Drosophila melanogaster: one gene and its partners. The protein of the gene in region 4 interacts with the protein of the main gene of each other region in a pairwise test. Each region holds a gene or a part of one and is shown on either strand. Other genes may lie near its edges. The genes, in order: fd59A, CG2926, eg and CG8319.

Region 1 (8,703 bases), on a different chromosome or scaffold from region 4:
AAAAGGTACGTTGAAAATTTAAATTAGAATTGCCCAGGCACAAGATGATATGCGAGAGAATGAATGCTAATAGTGGGACAGAATAAAGGCCAGCGCATTAGAGTAAGGCTTTCTCGGCTTTTGTTAATGGCTTTTAAGTACATAAATCATAATTTTTGTCTCCCTGTGTAAACACCGACACGAGAACACCTATGCAAACACCCTGGTGGCGGGGGCCAAGTCAAGATGGGGGCGGGTGCAGGTTACCCGGCAGAACCAGAGGCAGAACCACCACCTTAGACCTTTCGACCCCCACCACCACCTGCTACCCATTCCCATTCCCATCGCCACCGCACATCTTTCACCGCCGATCCTTTTTCTTTTGGCCGTGGTCGTGACACCCACCGATTATTTGCAGGCGGGCACTCCGCTTATCCGTGGACTCGAAGGTCTGCACTGCACAGGTGTACTCCCCCGTCATGTTCCAGTCGGGATTCTTTATCGATATAACACCGGGACTGCCCTCCATAGTGAATATTTTGGTGTCTATCTTCGACTTCATGAAGCCCTACAGGCGCAAGAACAAGAACAAATCGAAGACAAAGACAGAGTTCGATTAATCTTAATTAATTCGGTGCGACCAAAGACCCCGAGTGACTCACCATGGCGAACCCCTTGACCGATGGTATCCACTGGTAGATGGAGTGGTTATTGAACAGCCATTTGAGGACGAATCCTTGCTCCCGCGGCCCGATCTCCACCTCGCAGTCGAGCACCAGAGGATCGGGTTCGTGGTCTCGGAACAGCGTGTAGGTGCGTGGCACCCGCAGGTTGGTGATGCGCACCGAGTGAGTGACTATGCGGCATGGGGGCGGAGTAGGAGGAGTACAGGATTAGTTTGGAGGAACCCAAAAAGGATGTATGCGAGAACTGCTCACCCGAGAGTAACGCGAGCACGGCCAGCAGCGTGGCGCGTAGGCCTCGTCCTCGCCAGCCCGCCATGACAGCCGACTAGTTTGCCTCAGCGTCGCTGGGCACTCCAGATCCTGTCGCTCGTGATCCTCCCGTTCCGCGAGGACGCGCCGTCGTTGTGCGTGGCAATGAATACTTCTGTGGTGGTTGGACGTTTCTACTTATCGCGGTGCTGTCTGTTTTCGGCTTGCGCTTTTATGTGGATACATGGGGGCCTTTGGTTGCACTCATTATCACCAATCTCATCACAGAAGCAGAATGGCAGGGGGATGCTTTTTTCTGGGGATACGGGCACTGACTGGCACAAACTTTTCTCGGCCCAACGAGCTCAGCACCTCGGACGCAGCAGCTCCTCGCAGGACATCTCCCACTGCAAGTCGCAACTATGGCAATCTCCTTTTATGGCCCGGGCCATTTAAAGTTTTGCCCACACAGGACAGGATACTTTTTGTTAGCGAAAAATCGACTTTTTGCAGCCCACATACACGAACATCTACGGCTGCGATAGTGTGTGCGTGCGGAATGGAGTCCGCGGGGGCGAACTGTGCCAAAAGTGGAGTTCGTACTCTCGGCGTAGCGCGTGAGTTCTGCTGGCGGATACCAATAGTTGGTGTTGGTATCTTCGGCGGCACACTGTTGTCCCGCTGCCAGGCGCAGCTTTTCATGTTTTAACACTGGAAGCCAACGGGACGCTCGTGGGAGAGCGGAGCTTTCGTTTGGTAGCGCCGAACTCCACGGCGTTCTATGGCGGCACAACTACGTCCTGCGCCAAATCAGCTGAGCGATGGTCACTGCGCAGGCGCTAAAGCTGAACTGATTTCCAGGCAGGGGTGCCACACCTGGACAGGTTTGCTGGGCGGTAAATTCAAATAACTCGGGGTGTTTTATTGCAAACAAAAGGTAACAAAACGTCGAAAAGAGGGATCCCTTTAAGGATATTATTACAAGGAAGAGAGTGGCCACATATAATAATATAATTATAAAAATAATACAATATTACAGGTATCAATAGGATTAAAAATTAATATTTAGTATACTACAAACATATTAGTAACATGCTGTAGTAGCTGTAGTAACAACACGTATATCGGTACCTACCAGTCAAACATGTATCCGTGTAAACTATTATTATGTTGTTGTTTATTCAATTTTCAATAACATCAGCAAAAATCTTAGTCTAATTTATAGTTAATAGTGTTCCTCTTGCTTGGATGTGTTACAGTTACACGCAGACGCACACGCACACACATACACATGATTAGTACTTGCATGGTAGATATAGGTCTAGAACCTGAAATCCCGACTCCAGACCCCAAGAATTCGTGTTAAAAGTATACTATAGACGTGCGATGCTTCAGATTTACATAGATATTACGCGCAGATATATGTTTAGTACGTAAGTGGACTGGCAACTATAGCGTTGACTTCGATTTGGTCGCATTTAAAAACTCGTGTGCTGGCTCCTACATCCTACGGATACACCTACTGATCACTACTTGCTGCTCGGATTGGATTCCTGGGGATTGCTGGTGGTGGTGTTAGTGGGCTGTTAAAACGTGCTTAGATCGAAACTGAAATCACCGTTCAATGGACTGTACACAAGCCAATTGGTTCAAGCGAGTGGGAATCCCGCCTAGTCGCTGGTCTCCTCCTGGCTGCCACCGCGATGCAGGTGGTGGCCAATCAGCGTCTCGATGCGAAAGTCCTTGGCGCTGCTCTGTTTGCTGGTCCGCAGAACCAGGGGCTCGCTATCGAAGCGTCTCCTTGGACTTGAATCGGACGCCTCGGCAGAAGCCTCAAAGATCAACGCTTCCGGCGGCGCATCCAGGCGATTTGTACAGGCGCTGTCCACCGAGTCCGAGATATGTGAGTCCTCCTGCTCATTGCCGCTCTCCACGTCGATCTTGTCCTCGCATGAGTCGTCATCTCCCTCGGCTTCCGCATCGGCCTCTGTGTCCGCATCGTCATTGTACACATTGAGATCCATGTAACCACCGCCGGCGGACAGTCGTTCTGCGTAATCCCTGTGGCCGGGAATGCCCGCAGCACTGGCCACAGTCGCCACATCGAAGGCGTATGGGCTTTTGTACTTGGAGCCACGGCTGCTCTCGGATCCCCCGCCCACTCCTCCGCCGGAGCCACTGCTGTGCGGTAGTGCATCCAGGACATCCGCTCCTCGACCGCGATTCATGAAGGGCAGCCGGTCGAACTTGTCCCCCGACTGACTTCCCTGGTAGAAGGATGCTTCGGCATTCGCAAAGAAGTTAAACTTCTTGTCCGCTCGCAGCGCTGAGTCAAAGACATCCGCCGGATTGTGGACCACGTCGAACTCCCTGCTCCCATTGAAGTTGGGCACGTTGAAATGCACTGGCACGAGGGGCACGGGCTTGCGTATCCAAAATGGAGACAGCGTGCCAAAGACCGCCGGAAACGAGAAGCGTTGCATGGTGGGCGCCCGTTTGTAGCGCTTCCGCCGGCGCAGGAAACTGCCGTTGTCGAACATGTCCTCCGCCAGCGGGTCCAGCGTCCAGAAGTTGCCCTTTCCGGGATTTCCCGGCTCGCGGGGCACCTTTATGAAGCAGTCGTTCAGGCTGAGATTGTGCCGGATGGAGTTCTGCCAGGCGGGGAATTTGTCCTTGTAGTATGGAAAGCTACAAGTAAAATGCACAAGTTATTTAACATTTTTTCGAGGAATTTTTTTTAAAGAATTTGGTTGTTTATCTAGATCACTTACATTGCAATCAGTAAATAAAATATCACATTTTAAAATTTATAATTTTTGAAATCGATTAAAGCACTGAATGTCTCTTCTTTTCTATGTTTTCAATTGAAATTTTATAGGATTTATTTATTTTTATCGTCTTTACAAACTACTACTTTTATTCTCTTTTTCTGATGTTTTAAGATAACTTGGAAAAAATCAAACTATTGCTTCTTCATTTAAGGATATTAACTTTGCTGGCAAACTCACCGCGACATGATGAAATCGCAGATCCCGCTGAGCGTGAGCTTCTTGTGCGGTGACTGAAGAATGGCCATGGTGATTAGAGCTATGTAGGAGTATGGTGGCTTTACCAGGGGACCACCCGAAGATCCCGAGCCGTCTCCGTTGCCGCCGGCGGCACCACTTCCGCCCATGGACGACGGCTCGATGTCGCTGTCGTCGCAGCCCATGGACATGGCATCTGCGGCGGCAGTGCGCGAGGACGCACTGCATCCGATTCCGTTGCCGATGGAGGAGCCGCCTCTGGAGCTTTTGATGAGCGGCGGCGAGAGGGAGACGCTGTCGTGCAATGTGTGCATGGGATCCGTGCTGGTGTGCATGTCTTAGCGGGTATACACTGTAGTCTATTTGAGTCCGCGAATTGGACTCACTAAATTTAGAGGACGCAACACTGTTATTTAACTATTTTGCTCAGGAACTGTGTTCGTTTTGGCGTTTCACTTGCTTCACTTGGCATTTGCATATGCTTTTCGATTCAACTTGGAATTTGATATTTTCTTTTCTATTTCCGCTTCCGTTAACCGTTCGCTGTTACCGTCGTTTCCGGTTTAGCTGCTAGGATAAACTGTACATATGGCCAGCAGTGGTGTGGAAAGTGGAAAGTTGGCTAGCGCCTAGTCCGTCGTCGCGTCCGTTGAAGGCGGAATCCGCTGGCCAAATGTTAACTGAATCGCAACGAAAACGAAAATCTTCTCGCCCAAAATGTTTTTCTACATAACTCAAACATTTATTTATGAAAAACCGCTGCCATTGCCGCTGCCGCTGACGTTTCCCTGAGCTTTTGTGTCGCCGTTGCTGTGTTTTCGTATCTCGAATAACTGTGATTCTACTGCCGACGTCGCCGTTGGCGCGGGCAGAGCATCCTGACGGCATCCTGGCAGCATCCTGGCTGCGCCCCGACAGCATCGCAGCAGAGGGAGAGAGAGCAAGAGAGCCCGGCCAAGCCTCTCTTTCTAGCGGGGGATGGGTTGATATCCTGCGAACCAATCTATGCGAACTAGCTCGTGCCATCCCTCTCCCACTCGCTGCAAGTCCTCACAAAATGGTGGAGAGCCCTGGCTGTAAATGCGATATTTGTGTTTTCCTCTCTCCAAGCGGCGGCAAATTGGCAGCGACTGCAGAAGCCAACGAACGCGGCGGTGGGGGGGATAAACATTTTGCGCAAATTTAGATACCTTTTGCCGCTTTGACGTCGTGGCTCTTAATAATGTTTCATTATGTCAGCCACATGGAGGCAGGCGTCCTTTTCCCCTGCGGCCCTCCCTCGTCCTCGCACTCGCCCTGCCAACCACCACTCTGCTCCTCTGCCCCAAATGTTATGCTTCAAATGTTGGCATTTTTATGTGCGAATGTTTTTCTAACCGTATGTCGACGTTTCTTGGTTTCTCTCGGGCTCGCAATCTCATTCCCAGCCCTCTGTCCCTATGCACAGAAAGAAAAAAAAGAAAAGAATCTAATTATGTGTTTAATTATGTAAAGTCCAAATTCCACAAATCTTACTTAAGTTAAGTAACGAAGTTATAGGGACTTTTCTTTGCAGTTAGATAAGTAGAATTGTATTTATTTTCATAGGATATATTTTGTTGGTTATTCTAAGAACGATTAACTGAAATATGTATATAATACAATGTATTATTATTAAATACATTTAAAAAAAAAAAAAATGCATAGAACAGTTATGTCATTTTAGCAATGCGAAAAAACCGAAATAAAATATAATTTTAAAACAATACATACAATATACAATACATCTAATATAGATAATATTGGTTTTTTTTCTGTATATTTTATTTGGGTGTGGAAGTGAGATGGAATCAAATGCACCATTTTCACCAACATCCTCCGAGCACAATGGGGGCTACTAGAGTGAGAGAGAGAGAGCAGTAGAGTGGGTGGGACGGGAGGGGGTTGGACGTACATGTGTTTGCTGCATTTGTACTTGTATCCAAGTGAGTTTTGTACTATTTCTCTTTTTCATTTTCGCTGTTTTTGTTCTCCAGTTGTTAGACATTGTTGTTGTAGCCATTGTTGTTGTTCGCCATTCAGTGTTTGGAGCCTTCCCTTTTCAAATTAAACATTCAGTAGTCACTTTTATTTGTTGTACTTTGTTCAAATTAGTTTTCCAGTTTTGCGGAAGTTACCCACACACAACCAAACACTCACTCACACACACAGATGCATGGAAACAGACACGAATACAATAAGGGCCGCCATCTTCGAATTCAGAACCATATTGATGTCGCTTCTTTCACTCTTGGCATCGTTTTCATTATTCTATTTTAGCTTTGCCACCCCCAAAATTCCCATTTGCCAATTCCCCCACGCCCGCCCACCTTTTACCCATTGTTACACTTACAAATCAATGATTTTTTGGCCAGATTTTTAGGGGCGTGGCATCGGCCATCGGTATGTATCTTTATCCCGCTTAGTAGTGTTGGTATTATCAGGGGGCATAAATAGAAGGGTGTATATACAATACTTACATGGGGTCGTTTCTGCTCTGCCTGCTCCCCAATTTCGAGGCGGAAAATTTATTGAGGCTTATCCTTGTCTTTTTATGAGCAAACAGAACATTTCATGGCAGCCAAATGAAATTGGTTGGACACAGAATGTAATCAAGTTTTTCGAAGCTAACGCTTAAACTATTTCGGAACTTTATAAACAGGTAAATCAAGCAAAAACGTACCCAATTACTGGAAAATGCTGGAAATCGAAAAGGAATATGTGTTTCAAACTATTGAGTATTAATTGCATGTGTACACTGTAATGACAACAATTGGTAATTAATTCCGACTAGAGTCAGCATTAATATATGTGTAACTGTATCGGTAGAATGGTTAACAACAATATAGCTCACCATGCATAGAGGATAATCTATCTATAGCTACCAGTCATCCTCAAAAACATTAGCCCACTTTATCCCCCGCGAGTTGCATCTAGTATATCGAAAATATTTGCCCTTTCAATCCACTTTTCATTACTTATCCGCCTGCTCAATAGTTTCCATGGCAATTAAACGATTCCAACAGCCACTATCCTGGGCCAATCCGTGGTCACAGCCGTATCCATGTTCCCTGTCAGACTACGGTTAATCGCCGCCTTAGCACGGCAGGAGTCCGGATGAAGGACGAAGGACTCGGGCGGCCAGTTGAGCGTAAGGATGCGGTGCATTAAAGCTTTCGCAGGGGAACAATTAACTTATGGCCAAACAATAACGCCGAGGAATGCACGCTGACAGGAACCAGCCACCAGGAGCACATCCTGCTCAGCCTCACCGCCAGCTCCATCTCCGGGCTATATATATCTACATGAATATCCTGCGTCCTCATCCCGCGCTGCAGCAACAGCGGCATGATCCAGCAATAATCCCTCTTTTGTCAGCAAATTTATTGCACACAAGCAAGCCGGCAAAGGATATGCCAAGCGGATGAAACGGAGCGCTCAGTGGGCAGGAGGGGTAAGGACTGCGGATACCGATTCGGGATTGGTCTCTGGCTTGGCTGAACCCAGACTTTGACAATACAAATCTTTATTGCGAAATCTGCAAAAGGCAAATAAAAGATTTGACACTTGAATTGCTTTGACTGCAAGGATTCGGCAAGGACAATCGCCACTTTTGGCTCAAACAAAGGACACAGTTGCTAGCCACCGACGATGGTCCGCCTTCATTATGCACTGGGAACAAAAAGAGGTCATAAGATATCTTCATTTGATATTCAAGTAAATCAAAATGGCTATGGCAGCATCTAATTATTATTTAATTATTATTTTGTTTATTAATATTATCATTATCTGTATATATCGAAATATTTCAGCACCTGTACGACATTTCCAACAACTACTAATTTAAGAAAGTGGTTATGTCCTTCGACAAGTGTACATCTTACGAAGGGGATCCCCTCTAATTTGCGCTTGAGATGGCGCATCCTGTCGCATCCTGCATCGGTGGACGGCATCTGAGGGTCGGTGGCACCTGCTGGATCGCAAAGGCAAACACTTGAGGCCGCGTAAGAAGTTCGAGAATGGCGAGGGATGGCAGGTTTAATAGCTTCACTTCTTATGTGATTATTAAATCTTTGAAGTATCTGAAGGCGCAGAAAACAAGTCAGGCTGGGGCTCTGGTCGTGGGAGATACACATACAGGCACTTGAATACTTAAGTGACGCTCAATTTGATGGACAAGGACGTCGAGAATCAGCGGGCAAGCCACCCCAGGATTGCCCAGGACAATGGGAAAAATCACAGCAGGCAGCGAGCAAATTGCACAACTGCAGCCGCAAATTCTGTTTCGGGATCTCCGTTCTCCAACCTGCCAACAAGTGGCAAGCACAACAATGGATTCGATTTAACCATCCTCACTGCCCCGCATCCGGATCGCAATCCTCCGGACGAGCTGGAATATTTCACGCTCGATTTATCCCGGCTTTTTTTTGTACCAGAGGGTTGGGACAAACAGCAAGTGCCACACACCAATGTTTCGTGGCTCATTTCATTCAGTTTTGTTCATTTGATGTGGATGATGATGACGATGATGATGGTGGTGGTGGTGGTGGTGGTAGTGGTAGTGGTGGTGATGCCTGTGCCTAAGCCTCTTGTTTGGCGGCAATAAAAATCGAGCACCGTGTGCCTAAGCCTCCTCGGGAACCCAGTCCATTCCACTCCACTCCGCTCGGCAGAGGACGTCAATTTCTCAATTCATAAATAAAACCCAAAGCCCTTTCAATGTGTCAGCACAAGTGTGGAAATTA
Region 2 (8,378 bases), 4.0 Mb from region 4:
AGGGTAAAAATGTGTATTTGTTGTCGCTGTCAGACCACCGATAGACGATGTAATTGTTATCGCATTTGTAACAGAGGCTTCACTTTAATCGACTAGGTAGAAAAATCATGCGATATAATCTATATATGATAATGAAAAATCAATTTGGCTCTTTAAATATCATTACTATATTACTCGAATAATCGAGCGTTAATTTGATACATCTGCATTCCCGAAATCCACATTAATTGCCAGTGTGATCGGAGTATAATAACCTGACAATAATATGATGTGACAATATAAGCCATCCCTGCTTTATTGTAAGTGTATTTTTTAATGTACACACGCTGACGAAAAGTTGTGTTTTCTTCGGGATTTCGCTAAGTGAAAGGCCTCCATTTGATATTTCCCCGCATTAAATCCTCGCATTCAAGAGCCATGGAGACGCTCCTGGAGCAACAGCGGCGCCTACACGAGGAGCGCGAGCGCCTGGTCAAACTGATGGTGGACGAGCATGCGACCAAAAAGCCGGGCGAAAAGGAGCGCATCCATTCGGAGCACCGGCTTAAATACCTCATGGAACTGCATCACAACTCTACGTCCCAGCTACGCGATCTCTACGAGGACAAGGACAATGAACGAAAGGCGGAGATTGCCGCTCTTTCGGGGCCCAACGAGTTCAATGAGTTCTACGCCCGCCTCAAGCAAATCAAGCAGTTCTACAAGTCCCATCCGGCGGAGGTCAGCGTGCCGCTGTCCGTCGAGTTCGACGAGATGATTCGGGTGTACAACAATCCGGACGACATGAGTGCCCTAGTGGAGTTCACTGACGAGGAGGGCGGCGGTCGCTATCTGGACCTCAACGAGTGCTACGAGCTGTACCTCAACTTGCGGTCGGTGGAGAAACTGGACTATATCACTTACCTTATGTCCTTTGACCACGTCTTCGATATTCCGAGAGAGCGCAAGAACCGCGAGTACCGCATATACATAGAGACCCTCAACGACTACCTGCACCACTTCATCCTCCGAATCCAGCCCTTGCTCGACCTGGAGGGCGAACTGCTAAAGGTGGAACTTGACTTCCAGCGCCAGTGGCTGATGGGCACATTTCCGGGTTTTTCGATTAAGGAAACTGAGTCGGCGTTGGCCAACACCGGCGCCCACCTTGATCTATCCGCCTTCTCCAGCTGGGAGGAGCTGGCCTCGCTAGGACTGGATCGTCTAAAGTCGGCTTTGGTGGCTCTGGGTCTTAAGTGCGGCGGCACCCTGGAGGAGCGAGCACAGCGTTTATTCTCTACAAAAGGTAAAAGCACCTTGGATCCCGCACTGATGGCCAAGAAGCCCAGCGCAAAGACTGCTAGTGCCCAGTCACGGGAGCACGAACGCCACAAGGAGATTGCCCAGCTAGAGGCTCTGCTCTACAAATACGCGGATCTGTTGTCTGAGCAGAGAGCGGCTACCAAGGAGAATGTGCAGAGAAAACAGGCTCGGACTGGTGGCGAGCGGGACGATAGCGATGTGGAGGCCAGCGAGTCGGACAACGAAGATGATCCCGACGCGGACGACGTTCCGTACAATCCCAAGAACTTGCCGCTCGGATGGGACGGTAAACCTATCCCCTACTGGTTGTATAAACTGCATGGCCTGAATATTAGCTATAATTGCGAGATATGTGGAAACTTCACCTACAAGGGTCCTAAGGCTTTTCAACGACACTTCGCCGAGTGGCGGCATGCGCACGGCATGCGATGCCTCGGCATTCCGAACACCGCCCATTTCGCCAATGTCACCCAGATCGAGGACGCAATCACGTTGTGGGAAAAACTCAAGTCGCAAAAGCAGAGCGAGCGCTGGGTAGCCGATCAGGAGGAAGAGTTCGAGGACTCGCTGGGAAACGTTGTCAACCGAAAGACGTTCGAGGATCTAAAACGCCAGGGTCTACTTTAGAGGACAAGCCTACGATTATGGTCGCTTGAGTACCGGTCAATTCTATATGACGCTTCCTCTAAAACCTCAACAGTCTTTATAATTCAAAACGGAATGACACTAAAATTGGTTTTATTTAAGGAATCTAATGTTAAGCCATAAAACCATTGGGCGTCCTTTTATTCATTAAAGAAAGACCATGGATCAGCCAACGATTCATGATTAGAATCAATTGTAGTTTAAAATAAACCCAACGTCGTGTAGTTTTCGATAAAATGGATAACAGTTTTAGGAATATAACATTAATTAACGATGAGGACATCCATTTTCAGTCCCAAATCATCTACCCTAGCCAAAGGAAGGAGGTAAACGGTTCGCCCTGTCGCTTGGGATTCAGTTTTTTGGGTCTGAAGCCAGGGAAACTCCTGGTACTGGGAGTCATGGCTGAAGCGGATGAATGCCTCCTGGGTAGTGTGCAGATGCACCTTAAACTGACAACTTCCGGCGGGCAGTTTAGGCGCCTGGTTTAAGCGCTGAGAGATTTTGTAGATGACAGAGCGCATGTTCTGCTCGAACTCCATCAAATGATCCTCTGCCGGTAGGCCACTCCTCTGGGTTTCTAGTTGCATTTTATAGCTCTCCAACTTCTCATTCTCCTTCTGATACACTATTAGCTCCAGGCACTGCAGCTCCCGGCGGCGAAGAAGTTCTTGTGCGGATTTTAGGACGCCGGCCAGGTAGTTATTAAGCGGTGGAAATATGGACACATAGATGGGCGAGTTGTACATCCGCTTCATTTTAAAAATGTGCGAGGGGTATATACCGCGCACGTATAGAATGTGATTCACTAGCACCTCCATCGCCTCCACGATGATGTCGGCCTTAATCTCCGCCTGCATTTCGCAAGCAAGCGCAACTAAGTTCACAGATGATTGTTTATTTTTTAGATTTAAGCTCCGTTCATTAGGGGTGGTTCACTAAAAAAAACAATGAATCGATATGGCGCGACATCATAGGTTACTAGATTACACAGATTATCTTTTTTAAATTGCTTTTCTATTTCTCGAAAGCCATATTCGTAAATTAAACCGTTGATATATAAAATTATAAATTATTAAATGTATCAAACTAATTGCATCTGTTTGGTCATTCAAATCGACATTTTAACAATCGATATTTTCAACGTTATCTGTTTATTATTTCAAAAACTTTAAGAAGGTAACATAAAGAAATTGATTTATGTTTATATTTAAATCTTTTAGTTTTTCATTATTTTAGTACTTTTTTGCAATCATAATTATTTTGCGTACTGTCCAGGAGCATTTTGTAGTAAGATTCAGTTTAAACAGAATTTAAAGAAGTGACATTTGGAGTAGAGAAACCAATACAATTCTTATTGAAACCGAATAATCTATACCCTTTCGATTTAAACAACATAAGGCGCCTATCGCCGTCTAAATGAAATCGTCTGTGGCACAAAAATATCGAAAGCGCTCGCTGACGTTAACCCACCTCTAGCTGAAAAAATGGCTGAAATCCAAGTGTGTGTGTAAAGGAAACTGTGTGTGAAAAATTTGAGTTTGTTACCAATTTGGAAATACCGACGTTGGGGCTACAAAATACAGGAGCATTGCCCACTGGCCACAGCATCTGCCCTTTAAACGAGTCATCACGGAAGCTGTTGAGCGATAAACGCCAGGCGGAGTTCCCGAAAATTGGCAATTGATGCCACTCACGGAAATCGGCACTCGGCACCCTGCACCCTGCACTTTTCGGTCACAGCGGCCTGCAATTACAGACAAGCCAGGCCGAAAGGCGACTACGCGGACTCCGGCTGGGCATCGTATCGAAAATGTGGCTACCAGGCCGAGAGCAGAGACTAGCAAGAACGAATAACTAGATGCAAATCGTGCAAATAGCACTCCCTATATGTAATATATATGTAATACACACGCGCCTGCCCTGCCGACAGTGTACACACAACAATATATCGGCTTGATACACACATACGCAGTTGCATCAGCATGTCCGACCGTGATTCCGATGCCGTATCCGACGCTGGTCCTCGCCTGAGTCAGCAGCGCGGGCAGCGGAACCGGCGCATCATAATGCGGATCGAGTTCAAGGACTCGGAGGATTCGGCGTCGGATCAAGACCGGGATGACCGCCCCTCCTGCTCCGCGGCGACGCGCCTGAGACGCAGCACCCGTCGACAGGAGGTGGCTTCGCATTCGGATTCCGACTCCGTGCCCCGGAAGTCTACGCGGAAGCTGCGCAATCGCTACGGGCCGCGGAGCGATTGCTCATCCAGCGGCAGCGATGTAAGGCATTAAAGTTGTAACCACTTCCCAGCGGCATCACCTATTAATGCACTACTTCATTCATTCCAGATCGATCAACTGCCGACGAGAACCAGAAAACGAAAGAAGGTAGAGTCCTCCGATGAGGAGGAGCCCGAGCGGACGCCCAACGCGGTTGGAAGAATCCAACCCATGCCCGCTGACCCCGACGACGGCTTCAGTTCCGACATCAGCAGTAACGATCTGCTGGAGAAGTGCCCCATTTGCTTGCTCACTTTCCGGCAGCAGGAGATTGGTACGCCAGCAACATGCGAGCACATATTCTGCGCGGCCTGCATCGACGCCTGGTCCCGAAATGTCCAAACTTGTCCCATTGATCGCATTGAATTTGACCGGATTATCGTGCGGGACTCGTACGCTAGTCGCCGGGTGGTGAGAGAAGTGAGGTTGGACCTGAGTAAGTCCAATACTGAATTGGTGGTAGATGACGAGGCAGACACCGCTGCGCTTTCCGAAGAGGAGGTCACCAACTGCGAAATCTGCGAAAGTCCGGATCGGGAGGATGTAATGTTGTTGTGCGATAGCTGCAATCAGGGATACCACATGGACTGCCTAGACCCGCCGCTGTACGAGATCCCAGCTGGGTCGTGGTATTGCGACAACTGTATTGACTCCGACGACGAGGATGATAATGAGCAGCTGGAGCTGGCTGACGACTTGGATCAGCTATACGAGGATATTAGAGGTATGGGCTTGCCGGAGACTCGTCTCAGGGTACGTGAGGTGCAGGAACCGCCAAGAATCCTGCGCACCCGTCAAAACGAACGCATAAGGGCTGCTGTACTGCGACGTACTCGCTCGGGCGCTACGTCGGCGGAAGATTCCACACTGACCCGGACTCGTACCCGCACCACCACCACAACAACAACCACTACTACAACTACTCGGCGCACAACCACAAGCACGAAAAAAAGACCTGTTCAGCGGCGGCGACGGAGAAGGACTCGCTATCGCACCTACGTGGTCGAGTACGATCTAAACAACTTTGACGAAAAGTTCGCCCTTAAAACCAGCAAGAAAGTGATAAGACGGCGTAGGCGTCGGCGTCGTCGTGGAGTCGCCACTGCCTCTAGTGAGGGGCCTGGTCGACGTCTTTCAGCCAGCAAGCGACTTGCAGAGCAGATGGGAGTAAAATCGGAAGGATTTCAAAGTTCTCATCTAAGTGGTGGAACAGCCTCCAGTTTCTCGCTATTTGGCAATGCGAACGACCTGGAGTATTTCTCCGATAGTGAGCCAGACGCAGTGAGCCAGATCAGTTCTGCTGGACTCGGATCGACTGCAGTGCAAACCTCAGTGCGCATTGGAAGCATTGGAGCACCGCGCATCCGTAAAGCCTTGCTCCAAGGCAAGGCGCGCATAGCAGCGCCGCCCACAGCTCCGACTTCAGCTCCCGCTGCAGACATACTGTCTAGCATTTTGGATTTGCAGGATCGCTGGCACGATGCTTCACGTAACCTAGGCGAAGTGCATATTAGGGCGGACGGTACCCTCAATATTCCCCAGAGACCTGCACCTACAGCGACGGAAGCGCCTTTACCGAAAGCAGGTACTTCTAAGACCGAGAAGCATTTAACCCAGGCACCGCTTTACCAACAGGGAGGAGGAGGACCTAACTACAACAGAGGCGGAGGAGCAGGCTCAAGTGATAGTTACAACAATCGTTACAGCGGCAATACCAGTTACCGCGGAGGTGGTGGAGGCGGCGCTGGAGGATCTAGCGGTGGTAGTGGTGTGCCCAGCAGTAGCGGGGAAGCTTCCTCGCGACACTTGACCGGTGAAGGAGACGGCCAAGGAGGCGGTGGCTTTGGCAACCAAAACTTTAGCAGCTCCGGCTCCAACAACAACACTAATATGTCAAGCTTTATTCCGTTCCATCTGCGATTCAACACGCCCACCCGCCAGCAGCAACCACGACAGCAAAACGTGCTGCCAGCTAACCAACCCACCCCGCCTTTCCCTGGAAGTGCACCGCCTCCAGCCCCAGTAGCGTCGTCATCAAACAATTTTTCGGGACAGACTCCAATGTTTGCAGCTCCCCTCAATCATCATCCTGCACCAGTGATGGGTATGCCAGTTGTGCTGTCCATACCACCTCCGCCTATGCCACCTGCCAGCCTTCCATGGAACAGTCCTCTCTTCAAGATAACCCCACTCCAGCAAGCACCGGCCAAATCCAACGATGGCAACCAAAACGACGATGTTGACAACTGCCCAAACTTCTCAATTTACTCGCAGGAGTCGCAGGCGGTTGCTAATGCCTCGGCGATGCCGTCAGGGGTTCCACACGGACCAGCGGATGCATCTGATAAGGTATGATATCTATGGGGTTTTCAGAATCTAGAGATATTTAACATGAATAATAGTAGGAGTATTTAGTATACGGAACCGAAGATTTTAATGTTGATTTAGGTAATTATCAAACAAATTAAGCGAGGTAAAGAAAAAAGTGATTTTGATATCAGCTTTGGTGATGAAAAATGTTTGAAGTGGGTAGTTATTAACTTTATTACCAGTAATAAAAGGCAAAATTATGCAAACAAAAAAGCATATTTAAAATTATATAGGTAAGTAATGGGTACATCATTATTCTCGCCATAATCTTCCGAAACAAAAAGATACACAAATGTATAACATTTTAATTTTCAGTTTTTAAAACCAAATATAATGTTATTGAAACCAAAGCAAGCAATATAATTAGTTAAGTAAGTCACGTTTGATAGTTTTTCAGACCAATTCTTCTTCAACGCTTACTAATCTCTAATCTTCTCTTTTCATCTTCATTTAATCCTTTCCTCTGGGACAGGATGATGACGATATGAATGAAGATTTAGTACAATTAGATGATGATGATGAGGATACGGATATACCATTGCCTTTGGGGCCTGAGCCCGAACCCGTTCCCGAAAAAGTCCCGAAAAGTAGTGATGATGACCTCTACGAGCCAGAGAATCCAACCGAAGAACCTGAAGAACCCGAAATGTTCGAAGAGTCCTGTGACGCTGTTCCAACGGAGAAGTCCGAGTCCTCAGATCACGAGCCAAGCAACTCCAACGTGCAAGCTGCAGCCCCAGAGGAAAACGATGCTGAGGAAGCTAGGACGCGCAGCACTCCCAGCCCACTGGTCAAAGAGGATCGCGCTGCGGATCGAGATCGGGCCAAGGGAGTACTCGAGCTTTATGATGATAGCGACTGGGAGGAGTTAGACATTGACAAACCGAAAGAGTTCGAGAAGGCACTGCTTACGGAAACGGAGGCACAGGTCAGCCCCAAGAGAGCTCCGTCTAAGCGACCACCATCAAAAAAGGATACAAGCTTAGAGAGAGATGTCAACGAAAGCGGTAGCGAGCACGAGCAGGATCGCTCGTACACGCCCTGTCTGGACGAAAAAAATTTGGCAGAGGAGGAAGAGGCTGGGACAACGCATCAAAACAATGTAAGTACGAGTCCCAAGACTCGATCCTCTAAAGTTTCCGGCGACGAGGATGAGCCAGAGAAAGCTGTCGGTACGGATATTCAGTCAGAGGACGAATTGAACAACGAAAACGAGTCACCGCGACGCAGTCGAAGCCGTGGCACGGCTAACAATAAAAAAGACAAGTCAAAGTCGCGTTCAAAACGCAACAAGGGCGAGACTTTCAAAAAGGTCGGCAAGCGGCAAAAGGATCGCAACTATCGTGGAGACAAGTCGGAGCCAGATCGGAGCCCGCGTCCAGACTCCAGGAGTCTCACTCCAAAGATGCGTTCTAAGAGCCCGAGAGTCAGCAAGAGCATTAGTCGCAGTAGGAGTGGAAGCAGGAGCAGATGTAAGAGCAAGAGTTTTAGTAGAAGCAGAAGTCGTTCCCCAAGTCGCAGTAGGAACAGGCGTCGACGTAACAGCCGTTCCAAGTCCTACTCCCGCTCTCATTCTAGGTCTCGATCGCGTTCGAACTCGCATAGCCGCCAGAGATTTTCCTTTCGCGGAAGGGACCACCAGCGCGGCTTTTTCCGTGGCCGTGGAGGCCTCCGTTTAAACTACCGCAACCAGCAGTTCCACAACAGGCCGTTCCAGCATTACGGCCAAAATTATCACCAGAACCAAAACTACCACCATCAGCACAATCAGCACCAAAA
Region 3 (8,337 bases), on a different chromosome or scaffold from region 4:
CAGGTCGTGGATAGAAATTGAGGTATGCAGCGACCGGTTTGGGCTTGCACCATCAAAGTTTCGGTCGCGGCAATGTCAGAAGACCATGCACCTCGTCTTCCCTTCTCGTTCGCCCGAGAACCCCTCTCCCTTTTCCCGGGAAGACTCTTTCACACATCTAATGCAATGTACTACAGTGACTTGTTTTGCTAGCCCATAAAGCCTAAGGTCAAGCGAGAAAAGATACGGCGAAGCGCAAATAAAATATCTGCGAAAATCTTGCGTCAACTACTTAAAGAGCATGAAGAATCCGAGGGAGGGATCAATTTTGTCATGGATATACAATATAAATTCTTAAACACATTTGTGCGCTAATAATGTATTCCATGGAGGCCTTAGCTGCCACTTTTGGGGAAATACGGGCCACAAATGGCCAGACTTCTTCGTCCATAACTTGTATAGTTTATTATATTATAATATAGTATAGTATATTATTTTATGATGAAGAAACAGAAACATATAAACTGTTTAAGAGATAATATATATAATAAATAAATCGTGAAGTCCAATACAAGGATAATAAAATTATATGAACTATGTGATCAAGCAATTCAAAAACAAATGGTAGGATAATGAAATTTAACTTTTACTTGTTAGTCGTCAGAAGGGAAATTTTAAATAATTAATTACATTTATACAGAACCTTTTTAAAGAGAGAAACATTTATTTAAAAAAAAAAAGTAAAACGGATACATTTTTGATTAAATCTGATTATTCTTTTTAGTATTGTTACTGTTATTATTATTATTATTATTATTATTATTATTATTATTATTATTATTATTATTATTATTATTATTATTATTATTATTATTATTATTATTATTATTATTATTATTGTTATTATTATAATTATTATTATTATTATTATTATTATTATTATTATTATCATTAATATTATTATTAATATAATATTATATATTATATATTATATAATATAATATTAATATTATAAATATTATTATTATTATTATTATTGTTCTTATTATTATTATTATTATTATTATAATTATTATTGTTATTATTAATATTATTATTATTATCATTATTTTTATTAATATTATAATAAGAATAATTAATATTTTTATTATTTTAAGTATTGTTATCATAAATAAAAATCAAGTATTTACGTGCGGCTCTGTAACCATCAGGATCTTCGTAATTCTCGTTGGCCCTTTTGAGAACCAGAACTGCCACAGAACGCCCTGACTCCCTCCAATGACAGCCAGCTAGCAAGCTTAAGTGCTCCCCAGAGTTTTCCCAGTCTGGATATTTTCCGGACCAGGGATGCAAGTGGCAGGGAGCTGCTCCGCGAAATGCGCCCAGCAGGTGGTGTGGCCACAACGTGATGCTGCTTCTGTGATAATGGTTGGCCCCGTCCAAAGCCCGCCGGCTGCCAGATCCGGAGCTGGCCTGCCAATGCTCGGCACTTTGCATATAAACGCTCGCTAATGGACACCAAAGGTGACAGCAGAGCGCTGCTAAATTGGCAAACATTAAATTTGCACCTTCACAGCAAGCGAGCCATCGACCGCGAAACCGTGACAATTTTCGGCACAGCGGTGCACTTTTTCAGAAAGCAGGAAAATCATCGAGGAGATCTTCCATCTCTGGGTCCCAAAGACTCAGAACCGCAGTTCGTGGTGGAGCTGGAGTGGTAAGCCAGATTGCACTCAGCTAGAAAGAAGATCTCTGAATGGAGGAGTTTTGGGGAAATGGATTCATAAGCATCGTGTTAGCCGAAAAATGAGTATAATTACATCAAATAGGTGCATTTACCTTCGACATTGGGAACAACCTATATTACTGCTGCACTGCTTTCATAAATAAGCACTCATAAAACTAAATATTTATGCACTTAATATGCATAGAAGTGCTGTAAATTGCAATACATCTCGCCGTACCTGAACTTCGTAGATAAAGAACCAAAAAGTCAAAAATCATTTCGATCCTTATTGAGAAACCCGATTGAAATCCAATTGAGCGGCACGCTCGAGCTATAAACTTGCAGATCCCTATCCGCAGGCGGCATCTCAATCTTTTTGGCTTTATCACGACGACAACGACCAAGGCCACTGATCCACGTAACCGGGCGCATATTTGAGAGTCTTGTTCTTGGGGCATCTTTAGGACCCCTTTAAGTCAGCGCATAGAAGTAGTAGATGTCATGGAGGAGTACATAATTCCCATGCTTCGAGCTAATTACAAGTCCTCAAGCCGAGCCCAAATTTAAGGTGAATGCAATGCTTAGGTCCGATGGCCAGTTCGATTTGTGGGAAAACAATGAGTAGACGAGAGTTGTGCCAAAGACATTCTAGTGTCTTTGGTTGTGCCAATTCGAAATATTTGACTCTGCAGGTTCCTTTCAAATTTAAAAACAGAATCCCCATTGTTCATTTCTGAGTGTATATCGAACCGAACAGATCAGACCAGATATAGGAACGATCTTGGCTGTCAGACTTATCGATTAAGCCAAGATTAATGTTACACATTGGGCAGAAACAGACAATTAATTAGAAACCTAAACTGCTACAGAAACTACAACTGTATATTGATCGCAAGCCAAGTGGAGGAGATTGTTCGGATCTAATCTATGGAGATCTGCAGATGAACTCGATGGGGACAAGTTCAGAGCGGCTTAGACAATAAGAACCAGATCAGTTGGTCGCTGCCACATTCTCAACAAGCTCATCAACTCGCTGTTGACAGAGCTGAAAAAAAGTGGGCAGAACGTTGGACTTCTCTCAATAGGAATAATAAACAAGGTCCCAAAAAAATGTGTCCTTTAAAGCAAACAAAATGATGGACAATGCCAAATCTGATAAAGGCAACAGAGGGAGAAAAGGTGTTCAAACAAGCAAACCACGATTGTCTCAAATATTTTGAAGCCGCTACAAAATAGAACAAGAATCAAGAACACAGCCCACTGAACCGAACCCCGGAGCATTGACACAATCTGCAATCCAAATCCAAGTCCAAGCCCTAACCCAAACCCAAACCCAAGCCCAAACCCTTCCTACACCCGAATCGCCTTCCATCTCGCGCACAATTGCCGGTAATATGCTTTATTATTAGCCCTGCCAACCACTGGAGACGGACATTCGCAGTATGCAAATCCACTCAGCAGTCACACGCTCTAGTTTGAATTGTCTGCTTCCGCAATTCTTGATCTGCGATCCTCCATCCTCCATCCTCCATCCTCCATCCTCCATCCTCCATCCTCCATCCTCCATCCTCCATCCTTGATCCTTCTTCCTTCGCGATCGAGGATCCACGATCCAGTCGCTTCAGGCTGCCCCTGGCCCTTTTCTGCTTGATTGCCGACAGCAGTTGGACAATTAAATGTTTGAATATCTCCCATCTTTGTCCATTCGCAGCCCCTATTGTAGAAATTTCTTGACACTTATCGCACAAAAGGCAATAACATTATTAATGAGCATGTCAATGAGCTTCTTTTGTCTTCACCATTACACTTTTTCTGGTTCTCCTTGGTCCTCCTTAGTGGTGTGAGTACGAACTCATGGGAGTTAAGCTTGGTCCTTGATAGCTGGGGATAGTTGGGCCATTTCTTCGCAACAGATTTGTCTTTTTATTGTTGGTTTTTTGTTTTGATTTTAATAGTTTGTACTAAGTATTTCAATTATTGCTAAAAATATTATTAAATTGTATAATTTCAGTCTTTAATTGGTTTGGTTTTTATAATGCAATTGTTTTCGGTATTAATCTTTTATTTGCGATTTATTTTGACTTACAACAACCATCCGACAAATTTATGGAAATTATGCAAAATGGTTTTTATTCAATTAAGCCTTTAATATATATATTGCTTGTATTTATCTATTGTTTTAGCGTTTGAATTATGTGTCCAGCATCTCAACTTGTTGTTGTCTCATTAATTCAATGAATAAATGTTTTATTTATTCTCTTAATATGTTTTGTTTGTCAGCAGGGAGACTTAGCCATTTTTTAATAGCATAAGCTCATATACAACAAAATCTTACCTTTTCCAGATCATATATTTCCACAACAGCATAAATTCGATGTTTTTACCAACTCACTATTTATTTATTTTTTCCTCTTTAGATGTTAATTTTTCCAGTTTTTTTTTTAACTTCACACACTGGGATACGTTTGAATGAAAATCAACTGATTATATCAAACACACTCTTCACATGACACCTTAAATCCGAATTATCGCTGATGATATAGCGACGGCTTTCGAAGGAGATTTCAGCAATCACGTGGCGCACATAGTGCCGAAAAACTTCGCGATCGGTCGGATATAATGCGATTGCGAGAGCGAGAGAACAGCGAAAGCCTGACTGACGGTGCTTGGCAGCGTAGCGTCCATCCGAGACTAAATCGTCGCCGTCGTTCTGAGCGCCAAACAGACTCGAACTGGCAGCGCGGCCCTGGCCTCAAAGATCATCTTACCCCAGCAGCAGCAGCATCTGCAGCGCGGCAGCACGAACAGCAGCACTAACAGCAACAGCAGCGGCAACAAGACAACAAAGCGCACGCGTCGCTAGATTGTGTGCGTGCGTTTGCAACAGTGGCAGGGCACGGCGAAACTTAACTGTTAATCGGCGGCCGTCGCTGCAGGAAATCCTGTTTGGCAAACAGCTGCTGTGGCGAATGGTGCGCGTGCTCCGTTCTGCCGGTTTAACAGCAATGTTATGGCGGTAAGATCTGTTGACTGAACTGTTAACGAAACAAGATTTGTTATTTTCGGGAGAATTTTAAAACAATTATATTAAATATATATTATTAAATAATATATTAAAGATATTATTGACAAGTTAGTACCCTGAAAAAATGCAGTTTTTTGTTTCTACAACGCTAACTGAAATAAGTCAAAACGCATTTATGTATATTAAGAGTGCTAACATTTTTCTCCAAGTGCACCCTGCTACCGACCTCGCTTCGAACATGTTTGCTGTACGTTTCCAGCTCGGTTCGCGACTCTCCGCTCTCCGTAAATGTTAAAGCGTCGCATCTTCTGAGAGCTGAACTGTGGTTGGCTGTTGGCACCGGCACGATCTCCAAGCGTTTCGTTCGTTTCCATTGAATACTGTGTCGATGCGGTTGGCTGTTGGCTGATGTCTTTTTACCCCCGTTTGACTCTACACACGGTACTGTTATCATTTGAGTGTATTGGCCGCGAGAGTGTTGGCCCTGGTTTGCTTCGTTGTGCATGTGCATCCAATTGAACTCGTATTGGACGACTAATGTGGCAAGGAGGTGGGCACTTAATGCCCGGCGATCAGTGTAAACAAACATTGGGAGAAACCAAGAAAACATCAGAGGTTATTTGTGGCTTGACCTGCAAAATGGAGAAAACAAGTTCGCCTCCCTAGTCTTTCGTATATTTAAATATTTTTATGTGAATCTTTGTCGGATTGATAACGATTGGAGATGACCACATGGAAAACATATGCATAGATGTTGGTTTATTCTATCTGGGGGCACTGCAGAATTCTTTTAGGTTGAATACAAAATTCTGCCACTAATGGTATATATAAAGCTATATTCTTGTGAGCGTAAATAAAATAAAAGTTGCATGAGATTGTTTAACAAGGAATCAATTTTATTAGGGCTAAATGGTATCCATTTAAATACATTCGATACGGTACTTCAACAACAATTGCAAAATAATCAATGCTAGTTCTGTGCTGCTTAAATCGGATTGCCACCAGGCGCAAAATTGCCAGTGGAACAATCAACGCGTTTCCATATGTCTAATTGAATTCTCCTGTCATAAGCATGATCAGATGACTGCCTTCGTGCGCCGAGATGCCCACTAAAGTGATCCCCGGGCATTTGACCAGTCGTTGTCTGTCCCTCCATCTCAACTCATCTCAGCTCAGACTTAGACTCAGGCTCAGGCTCAGGCTCAGACTCCCGGCTTCTGTCACTTGGTGATGATGATGATTTCATTTTAATAACACCACTGGACGGAAGAAGAGTGCCACGGCGGAGATCGTTTAATACTCTGCATTCGCCGCGGCCGTGTCAACACCACTTGACGGAGTAACAAGGAAGCGCAACACTCTAAAACGACGTGTAATTTATCACAGCCAAAAGCATTTAGCCATGAACTGGAACGGAGACTCCGATTGCGACTGCAACTGAATCTGGCTAGTTTCTTGGAGTAGTTTCCTCTGGCTCTGCCTGTCAGTATAGTTGTCGTCATAATCTGCCAAGTGGCGATGCAGCTCCTGGAGCTGCTGCGGTGCAATTTGGTCGTCATATTAAAATTTCTTCAGCTCGTGGGCAATCTGAAATTTTCCCTCCGCTCTCTCCAAATTTTTAATTAAGTTTGGGCCTTGGCAACGGGCGCATGCGTATCTCGCCTGCTTGCGTGCTCATCTCTCAACTCGGTGATGAGTTGGGGCATTAGCTTAGATGGCTGCCCATATTTATTAGAGCGCAATCTGCCTCAAATTGTGGCCACTTGAAGCGATACGGAGCGGAGAGCAAGAAACTTTAATCTAATTATGAACAGAGTTGGTTGGCTTACTTTCAAGACGGACTTAAACAAATTGTACTCAGGATATAGAATTTCCCGAATTTTAATTCTATCAATAAGAGATTTGGAAGATATACTTTTTAAATCACTTTTAAAATTAACTAAATCGCTAGGAAATTGTAAATGCCAATGATGCACCAAATCTTCAACAAGTAATTGTTTTTTTGTTTTTGGCAAGTTCATATTGTTGTTAGTTAAGCTTTACACAAATTTAATTTAAATTTATTACTTACATTTTAAAGTTTTCTATTTAAATAAAGCTTAAGGATCAACTCAGTAAAGTGACTTTTTCCCACTACAAATTTTCAGTGAAAACTTCAGTCAAGCCAATCGGAGATTGGCAAACACTTGAACAGGTCTGTTTTGTGCGCTGGCATGGCCAAATACAAATTGGCCATGGCCAAAAAACCAGACGAATCTGCGAAAGAAATCGCTGCGAGGCACACACAAAATAGGCGACAAATCTTCCAAAGCTGACTTGAGGCCGGAATGCCAGAGGATTGAAGACATTTGGCGACATGCGATCGATGCCAAATCGATCCAGATACAGATACTTTAAATCACAATTTCGATTGAACGGACGCAGGCCAAGCCGGGCCAAAAAAATCTGAAAATCGATCTGCGCACATGTCAAAGGCGGTAGCAAACGCTGCAACAACAACGCGTTTAGACGCAACAACATCGACAACAACAACATCGGCAACAACTGGCAGGCAGCATTTTATTTCAATTTCAATTGATTGTCGTACAATCGCCATGAATAATTCAATTTTTAGAATTGCATTGCATGAAGTCAGATAGAGATAGCTGCTGGACAGGCGAAGGAGAGGGAGTGAGGAATACGTTACATGGACATATTTTTGCCACTGTCTGTTGTTGTAGCTGTAAGTTATAGTCATCTTCTCCTTTCCTTCACCCCGACCCCCCAGCCACTGACAATACTATTGGCGATATAAGGATATATGGAAGATGGGTCATCTATGAAAATACTCCTCAAAAATTGTTGTTACCAAAAGTTAGATGCCATTTGGATACTTTTACTGTTAAGTATTTAATGCCTTAAGGTAAATTAAGTAATTCTCTTAATACATTTTATTGAGAATCTACATAAATCAAGCAAACCATCATCCGATATCAATACAAACTGAAGCTTTAGATACCAACAATCGTTCGCATTCCCTGCTTCTCAAGGAATTGAGAAAAAGGCAGATGCTCAGACTTTTGGGCTTTTTTTTGTGAAATTGGGGAGGGGGAACTTAAACGAAATGCATCAAAACATCATCTTGAACCATTAGCAATGTCAGACACATTAAGCATCCCCTGCAAAACAGGACTCGTTCATCTGCCACGGAACTTCAGCCAAGCAGCGGTGATTAATGTGTTTATTATGCAACAATTATGTACATAAACACCGAGCACTGAATGCGAATACGAATTGGAGTGAGTTTGAGTGTCCCGTATTAATGCGGCTCTTGAGCGTTTCAAGATCACGGATCATGTCAAATTAATGAACTGGCTCCCGGCCCTTGACTTTGACACTTCATAAAGGTGTCGACGCGAGGGAAGATCCGTCGGCGTCCTGGCAAGGACAATAGACGGGCCGACCGTTTCAGTTGCCTCACTTTATGCGAGGACAGGCCTCGTCTCACCTCAAGACATTCACAGCCCGGATAAATCACACAGCGATGAATTTGCATAACTCCCGGTGCAGATCGGTCGAGTAATTTGTTCTGCTTAAGAGGAAACTAGTTTGCGTCCTGTCATGGGAT
Region 4 (7,372 bases):
GACATCCCTGATTGGCCTGATTTGGGCCAATGAAAACGTTCCAGCAAACCAATTTCAGTAACAAGCCGTCCCGCTCCGACACGCACGATTTAGATGCAATAAATAAATAGCACTTTCTTGCCGGCATTTAGTACTTAACTTTAACCGAGTTCGGACAACCATCGGAGTTGGAAGAGTCAGTCCAAAAAGTGGTGCGGGATCGTTCACATGATGTGGTGCAAAACAGTGATAGTGTTGCTGGCGACAGTCGGCTTTATTAGTGCCGAGGTTTATCTGAAGGAGAATTTCGACAACGGTAAGTGGTAGTCATCGCGTTCTATGGCCGCCATGTGGTCCTCCGCTCCCCTTCAATGAATAACGAAAGGAGAGACAATAAAAATAGAAGAATAATAAAAGCACTCCCCCGCTTGTTCCCGTAGAAAACTGGGAGGATACGTGGATCTACAGCAAACATCCTGGCAAGGAGTTCGGAAAATTCGTCCTCACCCCCGGTACCTTCTACAACGATGCTGAGGCCGACAAAGGTAGCGTATATGTGTCGATGTGTCGTCACTCCCTTTTCCAAATCTTTCTCTTCGCTCGTTCTGCCATTTTTATTTTTCGTCGGCGTGTTATCTGCATTTGTATGTGCCCGTGTATGCGGAGAACATGGGCACGAAGAAGAAGAGGAAGAAGAAGAAAAACCACTACGTGTACGTTTTCGAGTAGCTATAGTAACTGTATACACATTTTTTCTCGCCCCCCACCTCCGCGCGGCGCGCATTCGTATTGATGTGGACACACATTATATAGGCATTCAGACCTCTCAGGATGCTCGATTCTACGCGGCCAGCCGCAAGTTTGATGGCTTCTCCAACGAGGACAAGCCCCTCGTGGTGCAGTTCTCCGTGAAGCACGAGCAGAATATCGACTGCGGCGGCGGCTATGTGAAGCTGTTCGACTGCTCCCTCGACCAGACCGACATGCACGGCGAGTCGCCGTACGAGATCATGTTCGGCCCGGACATCTGCGGACCCGGCACCAAGAAGGTCCATGTGATCTTCAGCTACAAGGGCAAGAACCACCTAATCAGCAAAGACATCCGCTGCAAAGATGACGTGTACACCCACTTCTACACGCTGATTGTCAGACCCGACAACACGTACGAGGTGCTCATCGACAACGAGAAGGTGGAGTCTGGCAACCTGGAGGACGACTGGGACTTCCTGGCCCCCAAGAAGATCAAGGATCCCACCGCCACCAAGCCCGAAGACTGGGACGATAGGGTAAGTTGTAAATCCCCGCCCAAATCAGACTTTAGCCCATCGAAAAACCGGTTTGGCTCATTGTTATTAAACAACAACGTAAATCTCTGTAGGCCACCATTCCCGATCCCGATGACAAGAAGCCCGAGGACTGGGACAAACCAGAGCACATTCCCGACCCAGATGCCACAAAGCCTGAGGATTGGGACGATGAGATGGACGGCGAGTGGGAGCCACCGATGATCGACAACCCTGAGTTCAAGGGCGAGTGGCAGCCAAAGCAGCTGGACAACCCCAACTACAAGGGCGCCTGGGAGCATCCCGAGATCGCCAATCCCGAGTATGTGCCCGACGACAAGCTGTATCTGCGCAAGGAGATCTGCACCCTGGGCTTCGATCTCTGGCAGGTCAAGTCCGGCACTATCTTCGACAACGTCCTGATCACGGACGACGTGGAGCTGGCCGCTAAGGCTGCTGCCGAAGTCAAGAACACCCAGGCGGGCGAGAAGAAAATGAAGGAGGCCCAGGATGAGGTGCAGCGCAAGAAGGACGAGGAGGAGGCGAAAAAGGCTTCCGACAAGGACGATGAGGACGAGGATGATGACGATGAGGAGAAGGATGATGAATCTAAGCAAGACAAAGATCAAAGCGAACACGACGAATTGTAAGGACGTCTAGGGAAAATTACGTCGAGAAATATTCGGTATTTTTTGTGTGTTGGTAGCTGCTTTGATGTTCTAAGCAAACGGAAACCACAATTACAATTTGTAAGACTTATAATTTATAAACATACAACTTGTTGTTTTTTTCCATTGCTCTTTTCGAGCGATTTAAGGGTTGTTTAGCTTGTTTATCAAAATGGTGGTGCCACGTGAACAAATCACGGCCGAATGGCAACGCTGTCTATATCGTCGTGTCTACATCGAATTTTGATTTACAGAAAAACGGTGTTGCCACTCCAAATGGTTTTCAAAGTGCTGTTCGAATTCTACGAAAATATAAATCCTAAATTCAATTAAATCCCAATATGAACTATAGAAACAATGAGATATAAACATAACCGAATCCTAATTTATTTATTCGAGTAAGCCGTGGTATTTGGTCAAGAATTTAAGGTATCACTTTAGCTTTAGCTTTTGATCTCCATCCCGATGCTTGCCCAGAAAGTGCCGCTTCAGATGATGTTTCTCCCGGAAGTCCTGCAGGCAGATGGAACACTTGTAGGGCCGTTCATCCGAGTGGCGTCGTCGGTGCTTCGCCAGGTTATTGTTGTCCGAAAAAGTCTTGGGGCAGTGGGGGCATTGGTAGGGCTTCTCGCCCGTGTGTATGCGGATGTGGACCTTAAGGGCCTGCTTGGAACGGAAGTTGGACACGCAGAAGGGACAGGCATGCGGCCGTTCGCCCATGTGCGCATGGATGTGCACCTTGAGGGCCGACTTGTTGAAGAATCCCGTTTGGCAGTATGAACATTTGTGGGGTCCGTTTCCCTGTTTCGATTCCGCGTGGATCAACAGGTGCGCCTTGAGGTTTTGTTCGCGAGTAAAGGCCTGCTGACAGTGGGGGCACTGAAAGGGCGAACGCTCCTGCATATCCTTGCATTTGTGGCTGTCCAGGCTCTGGGTGCTTGAAAAGACCTTTAAGCATTCCGGGCACTCGACGGTGGAATTGCTATTGCGATAACATTGGTGGTTATCCAGATCGGCCTTGAACAGAAAACGCTCTTCGCAGTTTTGGCATACGTGTGAATTGCTGTGAACCCTGTGGAATGAGATATACAATTTTAAGAACAGGTGAAATCATATGTATTGATTGTAATTACTTCATGTGGTCCAGGAGGTTTATTTGGCGCTTGAACTGTTTGATGCATAGTTCGCATTTGAAAGTCTGATTCTTTATACTCCTTAGCTGTCTGCCAGCTCTACTGGTTGTTATGGAAGACTTGGTTGTTCTGGAAGCTGTTTGATGTGTCTTTTTAATTTCCTTGTTGAGTTTCTTCTTTGCTTCCAGATTGCCTTTGTCTGGGTTCTCAATGAATAGGAAATCCTCCTCGTTGGGCTCGTCCTTGATGACCTGCCCATTTAATATCGCCAAATAGAACTTCTTGTAGTTCTCTTCGCATCTTCGCTTGAATCCGTAAGCAGTTCGTGCATCGTGGACACAGGAAATGCACATTTTTTGGGGCATAGCGTCGTCGGGATCCAACTGCACGTCGGCACATGTCTTCACCATCTCAGCGAGCTTGGCTCCATCAACATATTCTTCCACCTGATCGTCGAAAATGCCCAGCATGTTTTCCGAGGCCCCGCCACAAATTCGACACAGGTCCTCCATTGCTTAACTGCTGTTTAACTACAGGTCATATTTTTGGTAAACAATAAACTATGGTATAAACTTTTGTGTGCTTCTTTGTTTGGCTTTGGCTTAATAGAGATGAACTTTTCTGCCGTGACTTTAGTGACTCCAATTTTCGATCACGGTATTTATAAATGAAAGGTAAGCAAAGTTATGTTGTTAATAAAATAACAAGAAATTGAAAATAGTAATTCATTATAATTCATAGTTGATAATTTAGATTCATTGAGTCACGGTTTTTAAAAGTAAAATCTATCGATAACTGTAGCCACAGTCGCCAATCGATTGCATTTAAATAGTTCGCGCTACACCGTTTAGACTCAAATAAAGCAAATAATTGTATTTTAAACGCTTCCGTGAAATTGGCCATGCAAATTAGTTTGATATGGAAAACGTAGTTACTAGTTGGTATATTTATTGCAGACATGAACAGACTAAGTGTGAATATAATACTATCCTTTATGCTGTCTCTTCTGATATGGCAGACTTTCACATATTACTCGGTACTTGAAAATATATGCCAGGAAATCAAGGAGCAGCTTAAGTTGAATATGAAACAGGTGAGATACTGTATCTTTAAATTATGCTTATCTAACAAAGAAGTACATAAATATAATACAATAAATATAATAGCATAGTTATTGACAAGTAATAAAAAGTTTATTAGCCTTCATAGTAACTTCTTCCCAATATTTGCACTAAGCCAAAAGTGTTAATTATCGTATTGCGAATCCGTTAAATGTATGAATGCTTAGTTAAGCTTTTTAAATCGAAATCAGGCTGAGTCAAGAAACCGGCTTGCCTGCGAGAACGTCGATGAGAGGTGGTAAAACAGCTCTGCCCGTTCCCAGTTCGCTGCTAGCCAAAATTAAGCACCGAATGTGACAAAACGGCGGCGCTCAGTTGCTCAACTAAAATCGAGTCCGACGGTCGCGTTAGCTTGGGCTTGGCATTCGCTGCGGACACAGAAGCCTTCATTCCCGCACTTCGTCGAAGGTCGATCGATTTGGCTAACCAAAGCTCAAATTACTAGTCACAAGATGACGAAGTTGGCGTCCACCGCAAGCCTTCTGCTTCTCGTTCTGTCCCTCGGATGGGCGAAGCTCGAGGAGAAGCCACGGGAGAAGCGCCAGTCCAACAAGGTTTGATTGCAATCCAACGCCTTTGGCTTTTTTGTTTACATTAAGTGAACAAATTCTTTTAAGCTGTGTTCTCTATACTATTTAAATTCGGCTAGAACTAGTAATATGATTAAGAAAACACTACTTTCTTTATGTAAATTTATCTGAATCTAGATTCTAGAATTATTCAGTAGCCCAAAATGAATAATTACTGGTATAATGCGAAGCCTAATTAATAGTTAAGGTGAAAGGCATCATATGATTTTTATCTTTCGACTGAATAATTCCTTTTTTAGCTGCACATCACCCTCCTTTACGAGTCCTTGTGCCCGGACAGCAGGAACTTCATGCATCAGCTAGGACCCGTTTACGAGGAGTTCGGGGACTACATTGATATACTCTTAGTGCCCTTCGGAAAATCGCAGTCGGAGCGCAATGGTGCCATCTTCCACTGCCAGCACGGACCGGCTGAGTGCAAGGGCAATCGCCTCCAGAGTTGCGTCATCAACAGCACCGCAAACCAGGCGGCGCAGGTTAAATTCGTGGTGTGCCAGATGCTAGCTCCGGATTATTCCCGCATTGATCAGGTAATCTACCTTCCGCGTACTCGTTGTGCTGTGTTTGCCCAACTGATTAACGCCCATTGTGTGCATTGTACCCATTATATATACCTTTACCATTCCATACGCAGTGTGCCAATGAGGCAGGCCTGCTCACCGATGTGGTCCACTGCCTGTCCAGCGAGACGGGCACCAAATTGCAGCTGCAGGCGGAGCTGGTGACCAAACAGTACAGCCCGAGCTTCATTCCCACCATCGTCTACAATGGCGTAAGTATGAGTAGCCGCGATCAATCGTCGCCGTAATCGAATGCACTCAACTGGTTTTCTTATTCACATTCGTATTCGTTTCCACATGCAACAGGTCTTCGATCAGCAGCTGCAGGACCATTCGCTGCGCGATTTCCGCGGCACGGTTTGTTATATGTTGCGTCAACAAAACTTGCTGCCCAGCAGCAGCACAATCTGCCAGTAGATAGATCTGCTAAATGTCCAATGTAATTGCCTCAAGTTTGGAATGAAATTAAAATTCATAAACGCACAAGAATGCCTGTCCTCTGGGGGAATGGAATCGATATAATCACAAGCGAATCAATAAGGTCACAGAGAACAAACAGTACAAAATTGGTTTAGGTTCTTTCTATTTTAGGGCTATAATTCGTTCTAAATGTAACATAAATCAAATTTTGATATCATATATATATAATTTAACCAATTGTTATTGTTCACACTTTCCTCTGTGCAGCACACACACCGTTCAGATAATAATTTATATTGATAAGTAAGATACAGTTCATCAATGACAATCGTGTAAATGTATATAGTACATGCAGTGCGTAGGGCGACTAATTTATTTACAAATGCGTACAATATAAATTCATTATTTTTGGATCAAGGGGCACAGATTTAGATGATGGGATGGAAAATGGGGGATGGGCGAATATCGTTAGGTTTTCCTCTCGATGAACCAACAACAAATGACTTAACGACTAGGTGCTAATAGCTAATCTACAACTAGGATTTCAATTTCTTGCACTTTGTGTTTTGCTATGGTCGCTGACGGGTGTGCAGAAATAACAATTTGTAGACGGGTTTCCGTTGTAATTAAAGCATTTCGCTCAGACAGCGGTGCCCGGAGCCTTACCAGCGGATGAGCCCGCTGAGGCGCCGGTGGCCACCGCGTTGAGACTGAGCGAGCGACGTGGAGCCGGCTTTGGTGGTACCTGCGGCTTGACGGTCGCAATCTTGGCCAGCGTAACGCTTGCCTCGCTGATCAGCGGCTGCTGACCCGGTCGCTCCTTCTCCTGGAACTCCACGTAGCCGCTCTCGTCGCTGTCGCTGTTGTCGTCATCCGGATGGTCGCTCCTCTCCTGCTTGTCGCTGCCGGAATTGCTGCGCTTCAGTGTGATGCTGCTCGAGCTGCTGTAATTGGTGGCATCGCCGCTGTTCTTGCGCAGCTGCTGCTCCAGTCTTTGGTAGATCATCATCTGCTCCAGCACTTGCGCCTGCTCCAGCTCCAAGTCCGGCGACTGCTCCAGCTGGCCGGGATCGCTAACCCGCTTGCTGTTGTACTCCTCGTGGTTGGCATTTGTGACTGTGCTGGCCGTCTCGCAGCCGCTGGATATGGAACCCTCGTCGCTGTCCGGACTGGTCAGACCCTGCTGGGCGGATCCTCCGCCCGCTGCCGCCGAAGTGCTGGCCGTCGTCGAGCTGGACGCGTTGGAGGAGATCGATGACTGCGTCTGATGGCGGTACTTAAGACTCGTCTGATCGGCCGCCCGCATCTTTCTCATCGAACTGCGGTGCAGCATGGTCAGCATGGCCGCATGCCGGAAATAATGGTCGTCCGCATCGTCCAGAAAGTCCTCCTCGCCGTCGCTGCAAACGCCACTGCGTCGAGGCGCGGTCACATCGTGATCCTCGGCATTGTAGTCCGCCTCTGGATCGGCGCTGGGATCGCTGTTAATAGTGGGCAGGAGGCTCAGCGGTTCACCCTCCTCCTCCTTGAGTTCGCTCAGGCTCACCATGCTCTGGCTGCTGTTCTTGTGCAGCTGCATGTCGAAGTACGGCAACAACTCATTACTCAAAGTCGTATC

The links.
Region 1: the proteins of CG8319 (region 4) and fd59A interact in a two-hybrid assay, tested with the Drosophila melanogaster proteins (one large-scale study listed by BioGRID).
Region 2: the proteins of CG8319 (region 4) and CG2926 interact in a two-hybrid assay, tested with the Drosophila melanogaster proteins (one large-scale study listed by BioGRID).
Region 3: the proteins of CG8319 (region 4) and eg interact in a two-hybrid assay, tested with the Drosophila melanogaster proteins (one large-scale study listed by BioGRID).

What each region holds. Positions count from the first base shown.
Region 1 is NT_033778.4:22,864,074-22,872,776, reverse strand, and holds fd59A (forkhead domain 59A), read right to left. Parts: upstream 4,619-8,703; 5' UTR 4,276-4,618; coding exon 3,923-4,275; intron 3,603-3,922; coding exon 2,585-3,602; 3' UTR 2,071-2,584; downstream 1-2,070. Other genes in the region: CG13532 (uncharacterized protein), read right to left, coding at 385-547, 642-835, 918-981. UniProt on the Drosophila melanogaster protein: Involved in development during embryogenesis.
Region 2 is NT_033777.3:5,583,372-5,591,749, reverse strand, and holds the start of CG2926 (uncharacterized protein), read left to right. Parts: upstream 1-3,369; 5' UTR 3,370-3,932; coding exon 3,933-4,229; intron 4,230-4,298; coding exon 4,299-6,578; intron 6,579-6,914; coding exon of another isoform or gene 6,915-6,962; exon of another isoform or gene 6,963-6,970; intron 6,971-7,071; coding exon 7,072-8,378. Other genes in the region: noi (noisette), read left to right, coding at 418-1,929; PolZ2 (DNA polymerase zeta subunit 2), read right to left, coding at 2,211-2,807.
Region 3 is NT_037436.4:21,804,941-21,813,277, reverse strand, and holds the start of eg (eagle), read right to left. Parts: upstream 4,576-8,337; 5' UTR 4,474-4,575; intron 4,440-4,473; exon of another isoform or gene 4,041-4,439; intron 274-4,040; exon of another isoform or gene 193-273; coding exon of another isoform or gene 25-192; exon of another isoform or gene 4-24; intron 1-3. Other genes in the region: CG43895 (uncharacterized protein), read left to right, coding at 25-192.
Region 4 is NT_033777.3:9,623,601-9,630,972, reverse strand, and holds CG8319 (uncharacterized protein), read right to left. Parts: upstream 3,653-7,372; 5' UTR 3,576-3,652; coding exon 3,064-3,575; intron 3,003-3,063; coding exon 2,363-3,002; 3' UTR 2,297-2,362; downstream 1-2,296. Other genes in the region: Calr (calreticulin), read left to right, coding at 208-295, 420-524, 793-1,265, 1,358-1,912; CG9427 (uncharacterized protein), read left to right, coding at 4,637-4,738, 5,014-5,304, 5,409-5,546, 5,641-5,751; CG8312 (uncharacterized protein), read right to left, coding at 6,395-7,372.